Linked DNA regions of Arabidopsis thaliana. The protein of the gene in region 2 interacts with the protein of the main gene of each other region in a pairwise test. Each region holds a gene or a part of one and is shown on either strand. Other genes may lie near its edges.

The links. The genes of interacting proteins can lie anywhere in the genome.
Region 1: the proteins of CRR4 (region 2) and DYW1 interact in a protein complementation assay, tested with the Arabidopsis thaliana proteins (one study listed by BioGRID).

What each region holds. Positions count from the first base shown.
Region 1 is NC_003070.9:17,483,535-17,486,984, reverse strand, and holds DYW1 (Pentatricopeptide repeat (PPR) superfamily protein), read right to left. Parts: upstream 1,410-3,450; 5' UTR 1,318-1,409; coding exon 598-1,317; 3' UTR 522-597; downstream 1-521. Other genes in the region: AT1G47578 (Biotin/lipoate A/B protein ligase family), read right to left, coding at 1,515-1,804, 1,887-2,037, 2,122-2,386, 2,484-2,620. UniProt on the Arabidopsis thaliana protein: Plays a major role in single RNA editing events in chloroplasts.
Region 2 is NC_003071.7:18,694,302-18,698,673, forward strand, and holds CRR4 (Pentatricopeptide repeat (PPR) superfamily protein), read right to left. Parts: upstream 2,391-4,372; 5' UTR 2,357-2,390; coding exon 515-2,356; downstream 1-514. Other genes in the region: AT2G45340 (Leucine-rich repeat protein kinase family protein), read left to right, coding at 1-165; AT2G45360 (ankyrin repeat/KH domain protein (DUF1442)), read left to right, coding at 4,318-4,372. UniProt on the Arabidopsis thaliana protein: Plays a major role in chloroplast RNA editing. Acts as a site-recognition transacting factor to recruit C-deaminase. Involved in single RNA editing events.

The DNA.
Region 1 (3,450 bases), on a different chromosome or scaffold from region 2:
TACGTTTTGAGTCTTATCGGATTATCACTTGCATGGCAAGTAATGTCTTTAGGGCTTGTGGGTCTTGTGTGTTTGGCTTCTTCCCTTTTCTCTAATGTTGTCAGCTTCTCCGCGACACCTGTAGCGAACATTTTCGTTGTGTTGGCGTTTCGGTTTATGGATGACGACATTGGATGGTTTAAGGGAGGAGCTCTGTTAGCTGGGATCCTTGGGTTTGCATCTTATGTATATTCCTTGTACAAGGCTATTAAGAAACAGGAAATAGCAAGCCAAACTGAATTAGTAAGAGTATGATTAATGATTTGTATGTATAATTGTGATCCTATTTATTTAGTGTTTGTCCATTTCACTGATGCCTTTTAAAGAGATCAAGTTTGAGTAAATATGTTTGTTAGAGAGTTGGCAGATAATCTCCACAAGAGCAGCTACTATCTCTAAAATGATGAAACGTCTTGTTATCTCTTACAATGATCTATCTATCTTCAATACTCGATGATAAATAAACGTTTGAGGAAAAAGCATTGGAAGTTGCATAAATGGCTTATGCCCATAGTTTAGTATAACTTTGTAGAATTTCACATCTTTTAATACAAAAGTCTACCAATAATCTCCACAAGAGCAGTTACCATCTCTAAAATGATGGAACCTCTTGTTATCTCTTACAATGATCTCTCTATCTTCGATACTCGATAATATCTTTATGAAGTTATGGCAATCTCCACATATCCTCAGATTCTTCATCACCCTTATTGTCGTCCCTGGAGGAGTGTTTATAATCCCGAAAGCAATAGCTAACCGTTCACTATGATGCATCAAGGCTTTCTCTTTAGCTTCTTCATCAATGTCGTGAAGAACATACTTAGTCTCTGGTACATAGCCTGCGTCTCTCACTTCTTTCCCTAAAGATTTCAGCTTTACGTAGGCCTTGCTTCTATCTACAATAGCTTTCTTCTCACCCCCTGAAATCTCTGGCTTATCTCCTCTAACCTTTGTTGAATGACTAGAAGGTGAGATATGTCGTAAAGTAGTATCTTTTCGTACAGTGTTTCTTACTACTGAACCTGAAAGTCCTCTTGCTGTTTCTCTGCCACCGCTCCAAGTATCTAAATTTCTTTCAGGCAGTTTATCAAATACTTTGGGAGAAGTTTCCTTGACTTGAGTCTCAACTCCATCAGAGCTTTGAACTTGACTCTCACCCGCAATTCCCTTTGCTCTCGAGGTGATTCGTTGAAAAGATGAAGTTTCTCTCTCACAGAAGATTGCTTTAGGGACAGAGAAGGAGCAAAAACTCATGGAGAAAGCAGCTTCCAGAGCCATCCCTTTGTGGTCAATCCAAGAAGCAGATAAGCTTTCTTTGGAGAGAGAAATAGAGAAATCAAATCTCTCACACACATATCTACAAGAAAACAAACAACTTAACAAACTGCCAATAAAATCACTGGTCCACAAAAGGTTTCCTGCATAACCACCATCCCATAAATCACTTGTAAGCTAAGTAAGAACCACAAAATCCTTCAGCATTCCAATTTGAATACTGTTTGCTTTTCCATCTGAAGCTGAAAAACTTCAGAGAATTCCTTTAGTAACGACTCATGAGCTATATCTAACAACTGCAAATCTTCAAGCTTATTATAATGTTCTCCATCCTCAATCAAACCCTTTACGCTTCCAACCCCACGGTTCCTTATCCCACATGGAACTATGGAGTTAAAGGGTGTTAAATCTGTTGTAACATTAAGAGCTAGACCATGATATGTCATCCATTTCGACACACGAATACCTATCGCCGCCATTTTTTTGTTGCCTATATAAATACATATGTATTAGTTCACTAGCAAGAATCAGATCAAACCACAGTAAGAAGTGAAGATTATGAACAAACATACCAACCCAAACTCCAGTAAAACCGTCGAGACGAGAAGCATTGATGGCGAAAGCCGAAGAAAGAACACGAATAACTACTTCCTCAAGCTTCCTTAAGTACCAATGAAGATCCATTTTGTGATTCCGTAGATTGATTATAGGATACATAACTAGCTACATTTCACATTCATTGACAAACCATTAGCTTCAATATTGATGAATTTGAGAAGAAAACAAAGGAGACTCATTGTGTTTTACCTGACCAGGACCATGATAAGTAACTTCACCACCACGTTCTGTTCTATAAACATCGAAAGGAGCATTCTTTATGTCGAAATTGAGATAATTCTCTGAGCTTCCAGTTCCCATTGTGTAAACAGAAGGATGTTGTAGTATAATTAATGAATCTGAACACTCTTGGTTTTTATCAATCAAAGCTTTTTTCTCATTGAGAATGCTTTTTTGCCATGACCAAGCTTTCTTGTATGGAATTAATTGATCGTAGAGATCAAAACACTCACACCTGTAAAAATGTATACTCTGTTATGCATTGTTGAAGAATGCACGTAACGTGTTCGTTAAAATTCCTCAAAGAGAAAATAAAGAGAGAGGAACATTACTTTCTTGGGTTTGTGTGATTCTTCGAGTTCATTATCTTGAGAGATGTAGATACTCTGTTTCTGTTGAAGTCACTAAGATGGTGGTGATGATGGAGCTTTGGGTTCGTAACAGAGCTTGTTGCAACGGAAAAAACCATGTCTTTCGAGATAAATTATCAAACTTTAAGGCTTAGAAATTTCGAAGAAGCAGAAGTTTTGGAGTAATGGCGGAGACACCAAGGAAACTGTGAGAGTATTTTCGAAATAATTGAACATTGTTAGGGCTATTTTGGTCTTTTAACAGAGGGTTTGCCCTAATTTCTGGGTTCACTATATATATAATACAACTGATACACTGAGAAGTTATTGAGAACTGCAAATCTTTAAATCTCTGTTTGTCAAAATTATCTTTTCGAGCTAGCTAAAGCTTACAGATTCTGGTTTTTGTTATCCTTTTAAGATCAACCTTGAGTTTGTTGTTTTACGGTATTTGCAATTTTGTATTTGAAGTTTTTCTGTGAAAACAAAAATGGTGGTGATGATGAAGAAAAAATGACCTTTTATCACATGATTGAGATTTTTTAATCTCGTGATTACCTTTCAAGCACTTCTGAGCCACCTTTTGATTTTTTTGTTCTTTATAGAATTGGTTGTAATTGATAAGCTGAATTTGCTAGCCGCATTGATTTGGCCATGAAATGATAAAAGATCGATTTTTTTGTTTAATGCTTTATTTCTGGTTGAACTTGAATCTGATTATTTGACGATGATTACAGAATTAACATTAGCAAACTAGAAAACTTATCTGCTTGTCACATCTGACGATGATTACCAAATTATATTTTGACACATGGGTAATATGGAAAAAAGGACCGTAAATGAGCTGCTTTAGTGTAATATACAACATTAACGATTGGCTTTTGATTATACATAAACTTGAATAACAAAGACCCAAATATTTTGACCAAAATGAAAAAGACCCAAGAGT
Region 2 (4,372 bases):
CTGAATGAAGACTTCATGGATCCAAATCTTCGAAAGAACTTCCCGGAAGTAGAAGCGGCTCAGCTCGCTAGACTTGGTCTTCTCTGCACTCATGAATCCTCAAACCAAAGACCATCCATGGAAGATGTTATCCAAGAACTGAATAATCTCGCCGCGGATTATTAGTTTCCCGTTTAACATGATTCTTGCTTTTGATAGTCCAAGAATATAAAGCATACCAAGGTTTCAGACTATCACCATTCCCCTGATGTTAACTCTGTTTTAGGTTCAGTATAGGGGATCCGAAAAACTCGGTTCATGATGTAACAATCTTATCTCCTTGTAACTGTAGCTGATGTACTTAGGCTGTAAAAACAATCACTTTTCAGACGTTTTAAGTGATCTTGTGGGAAGTTTTTTTCCAGACATATCTTAGCTGCACAAAACCAACCATGTGACATTGTCTTCATGTATGCCAAGGAATTGCAGAATAGGTTTAAGCCCTTGAAAATATATTGCTGCACATTCGTTTTATCTACAATGTACTGGAAACTTCAATGCTATCTACAAAGAACTCATGGACTCTTCCATCGAGCTCAATCCAACTACAACCAGGAATTTTCTCTATCTTTCTTTCCTTCATCATCGTTCTAACTCTACGAACATCCTTCCACATTCCAAAACTAGCATACATGTTAGAGAGTAGCACATATGAGCTCGGGTTATATCCAGCCTGCAAAATAAGGTGTTTTGCGACAAGCTCTCCCGTTTCAAACTCCTTGTGGTGACTACAAGCGGTGAGAAACGTTCTCCATATGACATCATTTGGCTCAACAGGCATTTCCTCTATTAAGTTTTTGGCTAGCTCTATACTTCCGGATCTCGATAGTATGTCTACCATACAACCATAGTGTTGCAATCTTGGTTCTATCTTGTGTTTTCTCCTCATGAGCTCAAAGCAGAGAAGGCCTTCCTTTACTAACCCAGAGTGGCTGCAAGCATTTAAAACGCCAACAAAGGTGATATCGTCTGGTTTTAAAGAGAGTCTCTCAATCTGCAAGAGCATATCGAATGCAGATTCCCCTAGACCATGAATAGCGAGCCCACCAATCATAGCATTCCAGTGATCAATGCTTTTGTTTTCGATTCCCTCGAAAACCAACATGGCGTGTTGTATGCTTCCGCATTTCGAATACATATCAATGAGAGCAACACCGAGTTTTCCACCTAGATAGAATTGTTTCTCCACGATGTACAAATGCATATCTATGGCTTTGGATAATCGGCCAAGCTGAGCAATTGCAGGCAGAACTATTACCAAAGTCGTATCATCGGGTAACAAGTGACTCTCCTTTTCCATGTCACTAAATATTTCAAGAGCTTCCATGTGATACTTGTTTTGAACATAACCAGCCATCATAGAATTATATGCCACAACATCTCTATGAGGCATTTGGTCAAACAGAGTCTTAGCGTGATGAACAAAACCTAACTTTGCATACCCATCAATCATGGTAGCCCAAGTAACTACATCTCTTCTCGGCATCACATCGAATAAACCCTTAGCATCTTCGATTCTTCCGTGTTTTACATATCCATCTATCATTGAGTTCCACGAAATCAAGTCCTTCTCAGGCATATCAGCAAACAGTTTAGACGCTATGTCAACTCCATCTGATGTCTGAGCATAACCACTTATCATAGAGTTCCAAGATATCAAATTCTTCATCTCCATAGGCATCAAATCGAACAATTCACGCGCGGATACAATCAATCCACATTTGACATACCCATCAATCATGGAATTATAAGAAACAGAGTCTCTCTTCGGCATTCTATCAAACATCTGGCGTGATAAACCTAAACAACCACATTTCAGATACAAGCCAATCAAACAATTCTGTAGAAACAAATCCGACCAAAGTCCAGTTTTTTTCAAAAACCCATGAATCTGCATTCCTCCTTTTACAAAACCTAACCTCGAACACGCTTTAAGAACAAGTGACAGTGAGAATTTGTCCACGGAAACCCCATTCTCGAGCATCAAACAGAGCAAGAGCAGAGCTTGTCTCGGATCCTTTCCATGAGAGTGAGACTTGATCACGGCGTTCCATAAAAATGGATCCTCCACCTCTCCAAATGAAAACGAACATACGTGATACTCGTGGAAGACACAACGCGCGAAATCGGCGAGATACGGACGTCGAGAAGAGGCAAAAGCCAGAACAATCCTCGTAGTGAGATTTGAGTTTTTGATGATTCCCGTCTTAATCAATCGCCCGTGGATTTGGTTCACGTCATCTGAAGTTTTGCAGCTTCCAAGGACATGAATGGTGGATGAAATCGAACACTCCATGGTTGACTTGAAGACAAGCATCAGTTATTACGTTCTTCTGTTGGAGATGAACCGGATTGGGTTTATTATCATCGTTTTAACGGCTATGTGGAAGTCGCTGAGCGGATGAGTTAAACGCCGTCGTTTTTGTATCTGCCTATAAAAGGGCTCTTAAATTAAGGCCCAATAATAAATATTATAAGCCCAATCTCAATATCTGTCCAAAGATTTTCCAAACAGCAGTGAAACTGAAACATTTACCCAAAACAAAATGGAATTAACTATTAAGTCAGACTAACGTTCGAATTTAGGCTTATACAGTTATACTTCAACACAAACTAGTAGATCTTAAATTTTAAGTTGATTACATTATGACCAACATGATCTATAGGAAATAATATATGTATAGAAAAGAGAAAAACTGATAGTGATAAATAGGATATTGATAAGCAAGTAGTTGATAAGCATTGACTTCCTCCATAAGTCATAGTCAGGATGGAGTGGTACGACATATCGTACATTTTTCTCATTTATCAAATTGGTTATAGTTATATATTTTATATAATTTTAATGTATAGTTGCCATTTAAATATCGTGCGTCTTTAATATAAAACGAAAGCGCTAATTTGTCGTTTACTCAATCGTTAATCTAATTAAATCATGTCAACGTTAGCTTAAGAGTACTTTGGTAGGTATTTGGTTCTTCTACTATTTCAGCGGCCATGGTACAGGCATGTCTCGGCCTACCAATGGGTGTTATTTCCTTACACATTTTTGGGCTACACTCATGCACAAATACATCTCTATTGTATGCAGTTCGAGTAAATTTATCTGTTTAGTTATTTTTTCGTGTAATCTGATCAATAAACAGGTTATAAGATGAGAAATCAAATATATTTGTTAATAAAAATTTTATACGAATATTTTACATAAATAATCGGCTAAGTTACTTTTACTATTTTAAAAGTCTATGTGTGTGTCTGATTGGCGAATATAAACGAGTTATTAAAAATAAAGGTAGGAATGTTGTACTTTTGGTTCATTTAAAAAAAAAAAAATCATTTTCGCTCTATCTTGAATTTTGATTTTAAACTACGAAATGTATATAAAGATACATTTTTAGTTTTTTTAATAAAGATATAAAGATATATTTTCATTGATTAAACTACTAATATATACATCCAACATTCTTATATTATATATACTTATATATGTAATTTATAGATATTTTGTCGCATATCTGTTAGCTTTATATGTTACGTGCAGAATAAACAAAACTAGGCGGCGTTAAATTATGTTTGTATAGGCTTGGTGTTTCTTATATAACCTTTGATTATAGATTCGTTGGTTGGCACTATGAAAGCGAGTGTCAAAGAAAAAAGATAGTATATGAATCGCGTCATTAAGTTGAAATAACAAAGGCTTTAATCAAAAGATTGAAAATTTAGAAAAGAAAAGGAAAAAATCAAAGATTGAAGCTGACCATCTCATGTAATTATTCAAGTTGTCTCACTAAGTCCACAATGTCAGCAATCAAAAATTATCCTTTGATCTACTACAGGTATTTTTCACACGCTAGCTACCCTTCTGACGAAACTGAAATAAGTAACAAAATAAAAACATTCAACTGCTATCTATTATAACAAAACCAAATGATTCAAATATGTAATTCATGTCTAGATAAATTTTACTGTGTATATTTATGGATATTGGTTTGCATAGGTTGTGAAAAGAGCGTGGGCTAACGCAAATCGACGACATAAATTCTCGAATTTTTATTAGGATGGAATTATAAATTAGATTTTATTGATTGTAACAAAGTGTTTTTTATAAAAAAGAAGATGGTGAGGCTAAATAAGGAGTAATAAATGGAAGCAATGAGACCAATTGACACGTTGTTATTAGTGTAAGCAAATGTCAACGCTTCGTTTGTCCATTTATAAAACCTAACTACTTCTTCTTCTTCTTCTTCCCAAATCATCAAACTCCATTTCACTTTCACTATGAAGCTTGTCTGGTCGCCGGAAACTGCTTCTGACGCCTACATCGACACCGTTA